Lonchura striata: one gene and its partner. The protein of the gene in region 1 purifies or fractionates together with the protein of each later gene. This does not show direct contact. Links are inferred from orthologs where the notes say so. Each region holds a gene or a part of one and is shown on either strand. Other genes may lie near its edges.

Region 1 (7,912 bases):
CGCCCCCGGGGCCCCCCCCGGCCAGCGGAAAAAGGGGAGGGGGCGCAAGAAAATCTCCAAGGCCGATATCGGGGTCCCCTCCGGATTCAAGTGGGTCTGGGGGGGGATTTGGGGTCTGGGGGGATTTGGGGGATGGGATTTGGGGGATGGGATTTGGGGGGATGGGATTTGGGGTCTGGGGGGGATTTGGGGTCTGGGGGGATTTGGGGGATGGGATTTGGGGTCTGGGGGGATTTGGGGGATGGGATTTGGGGTCTGGGATTTGGGGGGATGGGATTTGGGGGATGGGGGATTTGGGGGATGGGATTTTGGGTCTGGGGGGGATTTGGGGGATGGGATTTGGGGGATGGGATTTGGGGTCTGGGGGGGATTTGGGGGATGGGGGGATTTGGGGGATGGGGGGATTTGGGGTTTGGGGGGATTTGGGGTCTGGGGGGATTTGGGGGATGTTGGGGGGGTTTTGGGTATGGGGGGATTTGGGAGATGGGGGGATTTTGGGGGGGATTTGGGTCTGGGGGGGATTTAGGGTGGGGAGGATTTTGGGAATGTGGGGGTCGATTTGGGGGGTGTGGGGGTCGGTTTGGGGGGTGTGGGGGTCGGTTTGGGGAATGTGGGGGTCGGTTTGGGGGATGGGGGGATTTGGGGGATGGGGGGGGAATTTGGGGTCTGGGGGGGATTTGGGGAATGTTGGGGGGATTTAGGTCTGGGGGGGGATTTAGGGTGGGGAGGATTTGGGAGATGTGGGGGTCGGTTTGGGGGATGTGGGGGTCGGTTTGGGGGATGTGGGGGTCGGTTTGGGGGGTGTGGGGGTCGGTTTGGGGGATGTGGGGGTCGGTTTGGGGGATGTGGGGGTCGGTTTGGGGGGTGTGGGGGTCGGTTTGGGGGATGTGGGGGTCGGTTTGGGGGGTGTGGGGGTCGATTTGGGGGATGTGGGGGTCGGTTTGGGGGGTGTGGGGGTCGGTTTGGGGCCATCTCTTGGGAGGTTTTGGGGGGTCTCCAGGGGGATTTTGGGGTCTGGGGGGTTCCGGGGGGTCGCGGGGGTCTCACCGCTCTCCCCTCCCCCTCCAGGCACGTCGGTCACATCGGGTGGGACCCCACTGGTGGCTTCGATGTGGGTGACACCTCCCCCAAGTGGGTGACAGTGACCCCGGGGTGACCCCACGGGGGGTGACAGATGTCCCTGCCCAGGTGGCATCCCTGGGCCTGGCCCGGGGTCCCCATGGGGTGACCCTGGGGTGACAGCGACCCTGTGAGGGGTGACAGTGACCCGAGGGGTGACAGCGATCCCGTGCAGGGTGACAGTGACCCTGAGGGGTGACAGCGATCCCGTGTGGGGTGACAGTGACCTGAGGGGTGACAGTAACCCAAGGGGTGACAGTGACCCTGGGGGTGACAGTGACCCGAGGGGTGACAGTGACCCTGTGTGGGGTGACACTGACCCTGTGGGGTGACACTGACCCTGGTGACAGTGACCCTGAGGGGTGACAGGGACCCGAGGGGTGACAGCGATCCCGTGCAGGGTGACAGTGACCCGAGGGGTGACACTGACCCTGGTGACAGTGACCCGAGGGGTGACACTGACCCTGTGTGGGGTGACACTCACCCTGTGTGGGGTGACACTGACCCTGTGGGGTGACAGTGACCCTGAGGGGTGACAACGATCCCGTGCAGGGTGACAGTGACCCGAGGGATGACACTGACCCTGTGGGGTGTGACACTGACCCCGCGGGGTGACACTGACCCCGCGGGGTGTGACACTGACCCCGCGGGGTGACACTGACCCTGTGTAGGGTGACAGTGACCCAAGGGGTGTGACACTGACCCCGTGGGGTGTGACAGTGACCCCGCGGGGTGTGACACTGACCCCGCGGGGTGTGACACTGACCCCGCGGGGTGTGACTCTGACCCCGCGGGGTGTCCCTGTCCCCTCACCGTGTCCCTGTCCCCAGCTGGCCGCCCTGGACCCCGCCCTGCGGTCCCTCTTGTTCCATGGGGTGACACTGACCCTGTGGGGTGACACTGACCCCGTGGGGTGACACTGACCCCGTGGGGTGACACTGACCCCGTGGGGTGACACTGACCCTGTGTGGGCTGTCAGTGACCCTGAGGGGTGAGAGTGACCCGAGGGGTGACACTGACCCTGTGTAGGGTGACACTGACCCCGCGGGGTGTCCCTGTCCCCTCACCGTGTCCCTGTCCCCAGCTGGCCGCCATGGACCCCGCCCTGCGGTCCCTCTTCGCCCAGGCCGGGGTCAGCGAGCGCCACTTGGCCGACGCCGAGACCTCGCGCCTGATCCACGACTTCATCGAGCGCCGGGGCGGGCTGCAGGCCGTGCGCGAGGAGATGCGGCGCCAGGGTGGGCACGGGGCGCCTGGGGCACCTGGGCACACCTGGGCACACCTGGGCACACCTGGGAGGGACCTGGGCACACCTGGGAGGGACCTGGGGACAGCTGGGAGCACCTGGGCACAGCTGGGCACACCTGGGAGGGACCTGGGCACACCTGGGCACACCTGGGAGGGACCTGGGGACAGCTGGGAGCACCTGGGCACACCTGGGAGGGACCTGGGCACATCTGGGCACACCTGGGCACACCTGGGAGGGACCTGGGCACATCTGGGCACACCTGGGCACACCTGGGAGGGACCTGGGGACAGCTGGGAGAAACCTAGAGACACCTGGGGGGCACCTGGGCACACCTGGGAGGGACCTGGGGGCTCCTGGGGACAGCTGGGAGCACCTGGGCACACCTGGGAGCACCTGGGAGGGACCTGGGCACACCTGGGGGTTCCTGGGCACACCTGGGGGCACCTGGGAGGGACCTGGGCACACCTGGGGGTTCCTGGGCACACCTGGGGGCACCTGGGAGGGACCTGGGAAACCTAGAGACACCTGGGCACACCTGGGGGTACCTGGGACACACCTGGGGGTGGGACTAGGCACACCTGGGCACACCTGGGAGGGACCTGGGCACACCTGGGTACAACTGGGGGGCACCTGGGGATACCTGGGGGTACCTGGGACACACCTGGGGGTACCTGGGCACACCTGGGGGTACCTGGGCACACCTGGGCACACCTGGGGGTACCTGGGCACACCTGGGCACAACTGGGGGGCACCTGGGGATACCTGGGCACACCTGGGGATACCTGGGCACACCTGGGCACACCTGGGGGTACCTGGGACACACCTGGGGGTGGGGCCGGGCACACCTGGGAGGGACCTGGGCACACCTGGGCACACCTGGGGGCACCCGGCGGGTCTCTGTGCCCCCCCGTGCCCCCTCTGACCCCTCCCCCTCCTCTCTCTCCTCCCCCAGGACCGCCCCCTCCCCCCCCGGGCCGCGGGAGCCCCGCCCCTCCCCCCGCCCCTCCCCCCCCTCCTCCCGCTCCCGCTCGGCGGTCCCGGCCCCTCCCCCACCCCGCGCCGGCCCCGCCCCTCCCCCCGCCCCTCCCCCTCCGCGAGGCCCCGCCCCTCCCCCGCGAGGCCCCGCCCCCCCGGGCGCCGCCGCCCCGCCCCCTCCCCCCCTCCGCCGCCCCCTCCCCCCTCCGGGGTCCCCCCCGCGACCCCCCCCGGCCGGGGGGCGCTGCTGGACCAGATCCGCCAGGGGGTGACGCTCAACAAGGTCGGGGACCCCAAAAACGGGGAGGGGGAGACCGAAAATGGGGAGGGGGCACCAAAAATGGGGAGGGGGCACCAAAACTGGGGAGGGGGACACCGAAAATGGGGAGGGGGCACCAAAAATGGGGAGGGGGACACCGAAAATGGGGAGGGGGAGACTGAAAATGGGGGGGGGAGACCGAAAATGGGGAGGGGGCACCAAAAACGGGGAGGGGGAGACCGAAAATGGGGAGGGGGCACCAAAAATGGGGAGGGGGCACCAAAAAATGGGGAGGGGGAGACCGAAATTGGGGAGGGGGCACCAAAAATGGGGAGGGGGACACCGAAAATGGGGAGGGGGCACCAAAAATGGGGAGGGGGCACCAAAAAATGGGGAGGGGGAGACCGAAAATGGGGAGGGGGCACCAAAAATGGGGAGGGGGCACCAAAAATGGGGAGGGGGAGACCGAAAATGGGGAGGGGGAGCTCAAAAATGGGGATGGAGACCCCAAAAATGGAAGGGGGACACCAAAAAATAGGGAGGGGGACACCAAAAATTGGGATGGGGACCCCAAAAACGGGTGGGGTGGAGCCAAAAATGGGAGTGGGACCCCAAGAATGGGAGGAGACCCCAAAAATTGGGGGGGGGTGTCCAAGGGGGGGGTCCTGTGACCTTTGGGGGTCTCCATGGGATGGGGGAGGGGCTGTTCCATGCCCCTTTTTTTTGGGTGGGTGGTCTCGTGATTTCTTGGGGGGCTCCCCTGACCTTTTGACGTGGCCGTGGGGGAGGGGCTGGTGGGGGAGGACCCTGCCTGACCCCTCCCCATTTCCCACCCCCCCCCCCAGACCCCTGAGACCCCCGAGGTGGGCGCGGGTCCCGGCGCGGGGGGGCTCGTGGGGGCCCTGATGGACGTGATGCAGAAGCGAAGCCGCGTCATCCATTCCTCGGGTGAGACCCCTCCCCAAATTAAAACAAAACAACCCCAAAACCCCCAAAATCCCCCCAAAAAAACCCCCCGACCCCTCTCCATTGTCGCCCCCCCAGATGAAGGCACAGCCAGCGAGGAGGAGGAGGATGATGATGAATGGGACGAGTGAGACCCCCCCTGCCCCTCCCCCTCCCTCGAGACGCCCCCAGACCCAAATTGGGGCCCCCCCCACCCCTCCCCCACCCCGCCTGCGCCCCTCCCCCAGCTCGGGGGGGGAGGGGCCCCGGCTTTTCCTGCCCCCCCTCCCCTTTTTTCCCCCCCTCGTGCCCCCCCCCCCCCCCCCAAATAAACGCAGGAGTCACGTGACCATGCGCCTCGTTAATGAATCGCTCATTAATTACCGTTTAATGAGCCCCGGCAGCGAGGAGAGGGAGCGGGAATCCAGCGGCTCGGGGAGGGGCCCCGAGGGGATCCCGGCGCTTCCAGCGGCTCCGAGCCGGGAAAACCGCGCGGAAAATGGGGGAAAAACGGCGGAATTCGGGATCGGCGCCGTGCGCGGGCGCTGCTGGGAGCGATATGTAAATGAGGCAGCGCCGCGGCCAATGGAAACCGGTCCCTTCGCACCAGTATGTAAACGAACAGTCGCGGGTGCTGCTGGGAGCGCTATGCAAATCAATCGACGCGGCGGCCAATGGCGGGATCAGATATTATGCAAATAAAGCGGCGCGGTGGCCAATAGAGAAGGGGCGCGACGGTGTCGGTATGGAAATTAATCACCGCATCAGCCAATGGAAGGCGCGCGGGCTGCTGTCACTATGCAAATCAGCAGCCGGGCCAGCCAATGGGCGCTGGGCGCGGGCAGAGGAAGCCCCGCCCCCCGCGCTGCCCGCCGGGCGGAAGCGGCGCCAGAAAGAAAAAAAAAAAAAAAAAAAAAAGGCGGAAAACGACAAAAAAAAAAGCGGCGGCGGCTGAAAATGGCGGAAAATTTAAAAGGTGGCGAGAGCGGGGCGGGCCCGGGGGGTCTCCGGGGCTGCGGGAGGGGGAGAACCGGGCCGGGGGCGCTCTGAGGGGCCGGCGGCGCTGCCCGCGCGCGGCCGTTGGCGCCTGAGGGAAGCGGGGGGAAGTGGCGGGAACGGGCGGGAGAGGCTCGGCTCGGCTCGGCTCGGCTCGGCTCGGCTCGGCTCGGCTCGGCTCGGCTCGGCTGGCTCGGCTCGGCTCGGCTCGATGGTGCCGCCCGTCCCCTGACGCTGTCGCCCCGGTGCCGCCCGCAGAGTGCTCCGTGTGCTGCCTGTCGCCCTGGCCGCGGCTGCAGGAGCTGTGCCGGCTGCAGCGCGTGCGGTGCCGCGCCCTGGGGGTCACCCGCCGCAACCTCGCCGAGTTCGAGGTGGAGACGATCTGCGACTACCGGCGAGTGCGGGTGAGGGGCGCGGGACCCCCGGACGGGACCCCCGAGCTGGGAACCGACACGGGACCCCCGAGCTGGGAACCGACCCGGGACCCCCGAACCGGGACCCCGAACGGGGAACCGACCCGGGACCCCCGAACCGGGACCCCGAACGGGGAACCGACCCGGGAGCCCCGGACGGGACCCCCGAGCTGGGAACCGACCCGGGACCCCCGGACGGGACCCCCGAACCGGGACCCCGAGCTGGGAACCGACCCGGGATCCCTGGACGGGACCCCCGAGCTGGGAACCGACCCGGGACCCCCGGACGGGACCCCCGAACCGGGACCCCGAGCGGGGAACCGACCCGGGACCCCGAGCGGGGAACCAACCCGGGACCCCCGGACGGGACCCCCGAACCGGGACCTCCGGACGGGGAACCGACCCGGGAGCCCCGAACCGGGACCCCCAAATCGGGATCCCTACAGACACTGGGACCCCCAAACTGGGAGCTGACCCGGGACCCCCGAACCAGCACCCCCAAACTGGGAGCTGACCCGGGACCCCCGAACCAGCACCCCCAAACTGGGAGCTGACCCGGGACCCCCGAACCGGCACCCCAAACTGGGAGCTGACCCGGGACCCCCGAACCGGGACCCCCAAACTGGGAGCTGACCCGGGACCCCCAAATCAGCACCCCAAACTGGGAGCTGACCCGGGACCCCCGAACCGGGACCCCCACAGACACTGGGAACAGAGCGGGGACCCCTACACGGGACCCCCAAACCGGGATTCCACCCCACAAAGACCAGGAATCCAGCCAGGCCCCCAAACTGGGACCCCCAAACCCAGAATTGGCCCAGGACCCCCACACTGGGCACTGCCAGACCCCCTGGGGGCAAACGGGGACCCCCTGGTGACCCCAAAACCCCCCTGGCCTCGTGAGCCCCCACAGGGACGTCGGGGTCTCCTTTAAGGTCCCCAGGCTTCGACACCCCAAGAATCTCTGACCCAGTTCGGCCCCACAGGGTCTCTGGACATTGGGGTCACTCCAGGAACCCCCAGACCCAAAAAAGCTCCACAGGGTCCCTGGGGTCACTCCAGGAACCCCCAGACCCAAAAAAGCCCCACAGGGTCCCTGGGCATTGGGGTCACTCCAGGAACCCCCAGACCCAAAAAAGCCCCACAGGGTCCCTGGGCATTGGGGTCACTCCAAGAACCCCCAGACCCAAAAAAGCTCCACAGGGTCCCTGGGGTCACTCCAGGAACCCCCAGCCCCAAAAAAGCCCCACAGGGTCCCTGGACATTGGGGTCACTCCAGGAACCCCCAGCCCCAAAAAAGCCCCACAGGGTCTCTGGGCATTGGGGTCACTCCAGGAACCCCCAGACCCAAAAAAGCCCCAAAGGGTCCCTGGGGTCACTCCAGGAACCCCCAGCCCAAAAGAGCCCCACAGGGTCCCTGGGCATTGGTGTCACTCCAAGAAGCCCCAGCCCCAAAAAAGCCCCACAGGGTCTCTGGACATTGGGGTCACTCCAGGACCCCCTGAACCCTCTTAGACCCCCAAAGGACCCCCACAGTGGGGTCACCCCAGGAACCCCCAGACCTCGTGAGACCCTCAGAGTCCTCCAGATTCCCGCGTCCCTCCCGACCTCATGAGACCCCCCAGCGTCTCCAGACCTTGCGGTCACTCCAGGAACCCCCCAGACCTTTTGAGTCCCCACACCTGGGGGTCCCCACTGCCCACCCCCTACCCCAAACCCCCCTTTAACCCCGCCTTTATCCCCCCACCCACGCAGAACGAGGATTTCTACCTGGTCAAGTGGCGTGGTTACCCCTCGTCGGCCAACACCTGGGAGCCGCGCCGCAACCTGCGCTGCCGCGGGCTGCTGCAGCAGCTGCACGCCGACCTGGCCCGGGCGCCGGGCGGGCCGGTGCGGCCGGGCCGCCGCGGTCTGCCGGCGCGCGCCATGTTGTACTTGGAGAAGAAGAAAGAGCAG
Region 2 (7,064 bases), on another chromosome or scaffold:
TCTGCTCCTTCTGTTCCTTGCAGAAATTTGATAAAGTCAGCAGGATGGCTGGGAGAGCCGTCAACAGGCGCTGTTCCACAGGAGCTCATGATCTGGGGAGAGACACAAAGGCTTCGTGGAGCACTGATTCTCCTCCAGTGAAGAGCTTGCTTATTTTCATGTCAGTGCCTCAATCCTTAAAAAAAATAGGTGTGAGGTCAAAGAACAGGGCCACACTGAACACGTGAGGCGTGTTGGCAGGATCTCCAGCGCTTGTTGCAGCAGGAGGAGGATGGAATGTGCACAGCCATTTTCCCAGCCTGCTGCTGGCAGGGCGCTGCAGGATGGCTTTGCACTGACAAATGGGGCCACTGTCCCCAAATAAACCAATAAAACATTGGTCTGTGGAACAGTGAGTGTGCTGGAAGCAAGAGCCTGCTTGCTGTGCTGGGGGTAGAGAATGCTAGATTTAGGACCCTTCTCCAGCAAGGCTCTGTTTGTACTGTAGGAGCTCTTGATATGCCATAGCTGAATGAAGGGGAGAAATGGTGGATTTAGAACTCCAAAATAGAAAGAGCTGTGGTTACTGTAAGTTAAAGCTGAAGGAATTTATAATTGGGAACTGTTAGGAATACAGTATGTTCTAAATTACAGCTGTCTGGCCAATATGCTGCTAAATAAAGATCTAGGATTGCCCTGTAAATGAAATATTCAACGCATATTCTTATCAAAACATAGCACCATCTCCCAGAGAGCTCACATCTCAATTGCTGTCCAAGAGGATCTCTATTATGTTCCTTTTTTTTTTTCCTTTTTAGCGTGTATGATTTACTCAGTGCAGTATCCCAGGGAACATTTCTGGTTTCCTATTAAGTAAAAACAGTTTTCAACTCTACTGGGGAAAAGAGGAGAGGAAGGGAAATGGCTTGGAAGCTTTAGGGATATAAAACCAGGTTTTAAAAGATGGGGAAAGCTATGATTCCAAAAGATGCATTAATGACTGCCTGTTGACTGCCTGTTCTTTCAAAGCTGTTACCTGAGCCTGGAGGTGGACATTGGAGGGTGCTGAGGATACCCAGTATGTCCTGAGCTATTCTGATTAAGAAATGTTGTATATTATGGTTGAAGAGCAGAAGGAATGTTTGAATAGCTTGTGGTGAAGCTGGAGAATGGTTTATAGCAGTGCAGAAACAATCAGGATTCCAGCAGAAATGCTCATCTCATACCCAAAGTCCCTTCAGCTTTTGGGATTGTTTCTGAGGAGGCTGAAAGGGAGCATCAGATTTGATCAAGGGGAGAGTCTGCAAGAAGAGAAGCCTGATGGAAGAAAGGAAATAAGGAAAACCCTCTGTATTTTGCAGAGCTAAATATTGTTCTTCCTATAAAAAGAAAAACCTCCCTTTGCCTCCCACTTAGGCTTCCCTGCAACGGAGCTGTGAAAATGCTGGACTTACTGGTGTCATTAAGCAAGAGCCCTGAGGAACCTGGTGTCCTTTGTGAAGGGAGGTGTTTGTGCTGCTCCCTTCCTCCTGAAAATGTGGGATTTCTGATAGGGGTGTTTGAGCCTTCAGTCAGAGGAGGGAGGCTGGAGAGCTGTGGGGTGAAAATACCCTGTAATCTGTGGGCCCTGGCAGGAATGTTTGGAAAGGGGGGTGTCACTGTGCTGGGAAGGCTGCTGGAGGGCACTTGGGCTAAATAAAGGGCACAGCATCTCGGGGCACAGGCCTGTTCTCATCCTCCATCATCAGCAAAACCTTTTCCTCAGCCAGCCTGGAAAGAGGACTGTGACTGCTGGTGTGCAGCACCTGACCCCTGCCAAGGGGGGACAGGGGGGTCCCGGGCAAGAGACACCTCTCCCAGTGCCAATGGCTGTGCCCTGCAAGCTTCTTGCTGCTTTTGGATGACAGAAATGTGAGGTTTCACTGAGTGACACCCAGGCATCCCCCGTGGCAGAGATGCTGCTACGGCACCGATCGATCGCTTTACTCAAGTTGGTTGTTGAGGCATCTGCAGTACCCTGGTGAGCTCTGCTTTCTCCTTTTTGTTTCTAAACAGTGTTTAGTGCTTTCAAGGATGGCCATGAGATGTGAAAAGTGTCTCTGGTAGCATCTGCTCTCAGTGTATATTTAACCTCAGCAGTGAACACATGTCTGGTGTGGAGATGCAGTGGGGAGGCTGTGGCTGTGCCGCCGTTCTCGGGCGTTATTTTATCTGAGAAAGGGAATGTTGACTGTGGTGGATCATTGACACTGCCTTTGTTAATATCTTAGTTTCTATTTCTGGGCTTTTAATGAAAGCGTGGTAATTTCATGCTGCAAGGAAGGGCAGCAATCAACTGCATCAACTGTTTTAAAGCCATCTTTGGTTTGAAGTACAGTAATCTTTTGATGCGGTGGATAAGGCAACTCCTGTCTACATAGCTGGGGTTTGTTGCTTTTGTTTGAGGATTTTTGAATTTGTCTTTAAATGAGTTACCTCTGCACCTCTCAGTGACTGAGAGAAAGGCCAGGAAAACCTCATTTTGTGTATATTAAAACTTAAGACTCACGTTGGATGAAAACCTGGTGGGTGAAAGTGATCCTTTCTTTATCCTGTCACCTCAAATACTCCTTGCCTATGAATTTCAATCATCTCAATTTAGCCTTGTGTGTTTTAACTGTTTAGTAGTGAAACTTCTCCAGAGTGTGGAGAGGAAACAACATCCTCATAGCCAAGGGAGATCTGTAACAGCTCTTTGCTGCTTTAATTATTGCAGCTCTGCAAACGTGCCTGGCCACAGTGGTGAAAGAGCTGCTGGGACTGGAGGAAACGTGGCTTGTGGATGTTTCCAGCCTGGCAGAGCCGGCCATGGCTGTTGTGCTGTGCTGAGGCCTGGACTCGCCTGGTGCTGGGGCAGGACAAACTTCATCCCCAGGCTCTCCCAAACCTCCCTAGGGATTTGGATGGCTTGTTCCTCCCTGCAGTGGAGTCTGCTCCCTGCCCTCCCAGCTCACTGTCACACATTGCACTCCACTCATCCTCACTGTAGTTTCTACTCTTAAAGAGAACTCTCTCTTTAGGAGGACGCTCTCCAGTGCTCTCCTCTTTTGGAAAGCTGTTTTTCCTTTGGCCAAGAGCACGCGGGTGGTGCCACGGGGCCATGTCAGAGTTTCCTCTTCTTTCTGGCCTCTTCCTCGAGGTTGCTGGCTGCCCTCCCCCTGCTCGGGGGGAGGTTCTCCAGCCTGACACCCGGCTCCAGCAGCCTCCTGCTCCTGCCTCCAATAAATGCCAGTCTTCCTTGAATCCCTTCCAGCCGAGCTCTGCTTACAGATGTTCCTGCGAGCTGCTCTGGCAGTTTTACTGGGAGCCTGAGCAGATATGAAGGTTGCCAAGAGTTTATGCTTAATTGTGAAGTGGAACAGAGACAAACTACTTTTATTTTGAAGCTAAAATTTCTTCTGTTATCTTGCTGGCTGGGGCCAGCAGTATTGTAGGGTTTGACATAGACTGAGCTTAGAGCTCCTGTGCCTTGTAGTGAACTATCCCTTCATTAGGGTGGGGATGAGGATGGATCCATGAGGATGTCCCTTCATTCTGTTCCCCCCCTGCTTTTCCATGACTGTGTTTGTGATACCCTTTCAAAGTCAGTTGTACCAGGTCAGGTTATTAATCCCCAAAGTGAAAATGATCTCCCCTTCAGATCAGCAGTTCAGATCTCGAAGAGACGCTGTCTTGGGCACTGCTCCCTGCATCAGTTTAACCCATGTGCCTTCATCCCAGCTCTCAGAGGTTGGGCACTTCGTTAAGCACTACAAAATCAGCCCAGGGACATCCCCAAGCCACTCACATCCCTCCCTGTCCTTCCTGCCTCTCCTTTTCCCACGGGCAAGTGCTACTCTTGAAGGCCACGAGACAGCACTCTGGTTTAAAAAGCTTTCTCTTTTTTTCAGGCGAGTGATCAGTTTTGAGGCCTGGCGCCCTGTCAGAAAGTTGACAGATGATCTGCATTACCGGTGCGTCCCGGGGATGCCCGGGATAATCGCGCTCCAATGGACGCCCTGGAGCCGGCAGGTTCTCTGTGAAATGGCTGCAGTGGAGGGAGCAGTGAAATGGGCTCTTCTGGGCATGCTCACTCTGTAGAGGGAGCTTTATCACATGAGCAGAAACTGAATCACTGCTCATGAGGATCTGGAATATGCAACTCTTGGAGTCTTCACCAGAAGAAGACAACAGCTGCCCGCAGGTACCGCAGGGTCCGTCCACCTCCCGTGCCTGGCGAGGCCCTGGCAGGGCAGGGCTGCGTCCTGCCCGGGAAGGAGAAGCCTTGGAGAGGAGAGGAGGAGCAGAGGCCGGGGAAGCATGGCCGGGGCTGTTTGTTCATTTGTTTGGATATTCCTGCGCGCGGCTGCCCGGTGCGGGGTGGGCATGGCCCATCCTGCTGGCATGGCCCATCTGCAGGCATGGCCCATCCTGCAGGCATGGCCCATCCTGCAGGCATGGCCCATCCTGCTGGGATGGCCCATCCTGCTGGCATGGCCCATCCTGCTGGGATGGCTCTTCCATGGGCTCCGAGGGGCCTCGGCGCCCGGCAGCGCCGCCGGCAAACCTCGGGCTTTGTTTCCTCGTGCCTTTCGTTTGTCTCCTGGGGTGGGGAAGCTCGCTTGGGGTTGGTTTGGTTTTGGGTTTTTGGTTCTTTTTTTTTTTTTTTTGGTGTTTTTAGGATTTGTTTGTGCTTTTAAAGTGTGAAGTTTCTGGAAAATTCTCCAAGGAGCTGCTTGTAGCTGTTAGAAGAAAAAGGCACAAAGCCTGGGGTGCCCGAGCTGCTTGAAGACTGAATGTCTAAAGGGGAGGAGAGGGCCTGTGGCCACATGGCACCTCCTCACTGGGTCTCTTTTGACAGCCTCTGCCTATGGCTTGCTGGGGTGGAGGCCAGAGCCAACAGCATTTTACCAGGAAGAAGCAATCCTTTTTATTTTGGGGTCACTTCCTCCCTTCTCTCTTCTTTTTTTTTAATTTTTTTTTCATAATAGCAATCCAAGGAAACATCTGATGCAAAGGAAACATCCGTGGTTGACTTCATGGCAGGAACATGCCTGCAACATATTTTAAAACTCAGCCCCCCGGTTCTGCCCTTGGGATTTTTTTTTTCCTCTGTGATTTGTGTTACATGCAAGAACTGTTGGCTGCCACAGACCTTGGTGAGATTTGGGATGGACACAGAAGGTCCCAGGCCCCTGGAAGGCACGGACAGCCCTGCAGAACACTGGCCTGAGCTTGCTGTGCTCCAGGGAGACCCTCGAATCTGCAATGTTGACACAATATTGAACTTTCAATCAAGGAGCAAGATGTGAAGATGGCATTTAAAATATCAGGGAGCTTACATGGGACAATCTGTGATACCTAATCTAAATATCTGTTGTTTCTCCACTGGATGATAAATGTGCTCATTGTTCATCATTCAGAAGAAAAGGAAAAGGCATCAGAAGTCAGGAGGAGAGAGCTGAGATTTCTCTTTAACAGTGAAGAGCTGAGGCCTTGACCTGCTGCCTGAGCAGCTTCACTCAGGGAGAAAATGAGCTTTGGGCTTGATGAAGGCTGAGGAGACAACCAAAAACCCTCTGAGGTGTGGGAGGTGTGCTCCTGTGTGGTGGTGACACCAGCGTGGCTTTGGCTGGAAGTGCCCAACGCTCTGTCCCTGCCGGCTGGGGCCCTTGGGAAGCGTCTGCAGAGACGCAGAAAAGCCTGACCTACTTTGGAGGGAAGAGAGCCGCCGAGGTCTGGGCTTGGCACTGCTTCTCAGCAAGGGTTAAGAGCCCAAAGTGGGGCCTTTGGGTCTTGGTTTTGTTCTGTTTCATGTATTTAACTGCCTGTGCGGTGCCAGCACGAGCTCTTGCCCTCGTCCCAGGACATGTTTGGGTAGGACTAGGCTCTGTGGCACATATGAGGCATATTCCTGCAGCTCAGCCTCTGTGAGACCAGCCCTGGGCAGGGGGCAGAGGCAGCTCCATGACCTGGCTCCTGGGAGCTCTCCCATGTGATGCCATCTCCTGAGGAAAGAGAGTTGTGTGCACCTCATGCAATGGCAGTGAGTTGTTTTATTCAGGTAAACAAGGAGTTTTAAGGAGCTTTGCTCTCCTGGCCAGCTGGTTTGGGGGAGGGCTGACTTGGTTCCTGCTGCTCCTCTTTGTTTTCCTTTTGCTGCTTTTCCCTGAAGTTTTTCCTTCTCGCCTTCCTGCTCCTGAAGCTGAGAGTGGTCGAGGAATGGCCGCAGCGGGAGAGTGACCGTGTGTTGGGGTCAGCCCAAAAGCTCAGGGCACTGATGGCGTGTGCTCCCTGCTTGCAAGCCTTGGAGGACCATATGTTCCTGCAGTGACATGGAATGTCAGTGATTTGGAAACAAATCCCTGAATTAATAATCCTCAACTCCCATTTTCAGCCAGTTATTTTTTCTGACTCCTCCAAACACCAGCTCCCTCTTTGCAGACCCTTATGGCCTCTCATGTTTCCAGTGGGATTTGTCCCTCTTGTGCCCCTGTGAGCTCCTTGGTCTCTTGGGTGGAGGATATGTGTCTGGCTTTGCTGTAGGGTGGTGTTGGTCCTGGAGGGGGGCAGAGGAGGAGGGCAGCCTGCCAGGATTTACAGTAGTCAGGAAAGCAGCAGGAGCGAAGCTCTCAAACTGTACAAGCTAATTGGAAAGCATCCATTAGAAAAAAGAAAAGGGAAATATAAAAGGGGAGAAAATGTTGAGCAAGCTTTTAAAAAACATCCTGGACTCCAACACAACAACTTGCATCCTCCAAAACAGGTGATTTAAATATGTTTTTCCTTCAGTCCCCATCAGGAGGGGGAAGGAGGTGAGAAGGGCCGAGGCAGTGGGGGTTAAGAAGGTCTGACGTGCAAGTGTCCTCCCTGCAACACTGCCATACTGTGCCTGAGCAGCACAGTGGCTCTTGCAAAGGAAGCTTTTCACAACTTGTCCTTGTTCCAAGGATGAGGAAACCTCCAGCTCTTCTGGCATTTTCTCTCTGTCATAAGTCAGAGCTGCTTTCACCTGTGAAGTATGATCAGCACAGACAGGGAGAGGGCTGGAATGGAGCGGGGCTCTG

Evidence for each region. Proteins that work in one complex are often made in the same cells at the same time.
Region 2: the proteins of SUV39H1 (region 1) and EHMT1 purify together in Homo sapiens (co-immunoprecipitation; 3 studies listed by BioGRID and IntAct, with this or other methods). This does not show direct contact. The link is inferred for Lonchura striata from reciprocal best matches to the Homo sapiens genes SUV39H1 and EHMT1.

Annotation. Positions count from the first base shown.
Region 1 is NC_134638.1:1,546,648-1,554,559, reverse strand, and holds the start of SUV39H1 (histone-lysine N-methyltransferase SUV39H1), read left to right. Parts: upstream 1-4,898; coding exon 4,899-5,108; intron 5,109-5,172; coding exon 5,173-5,290; intron 5,291-5,801; coding exon 5,802-5,947; intron 5,948-7,711; coding exon 7,712-7,912. Other genes in the region: actin nucleation-promoting factor WAS, read left to right, coding at 1-90, 1,069-1,111, 2,204-2,373, 3,289-3,391, 4,448-4,550, 4,647-4,699. UniProt on the Homo sapiens protein: Histone methyltransferase that specifically trimethylates 'Lys-9' of histone H3 using monomethylated H3 'Lys-9' as substrate. Also weakly methylates histone H1 (in vitro).
Region 2 is NC_134624.1:4,059,729-4,066,792, reverse strand, and holds the start of EHMT1 (histone-lysine N-methyltransferase EHMT1), read left to right. Parts: upstream 1-4,056; 5' UTR 4,057-4,138; coding exon 4,139-4,201; intron 4,202-6,767; exon of another isoform or gene 6,768-7,064. UniProt on the Homo sapiens protein: Histone methyltransferase that specifically mono- and dimethylates 'Lys-9' of histone H3 (H3K9me1 and H3K9me2, respectively) in euchromatin.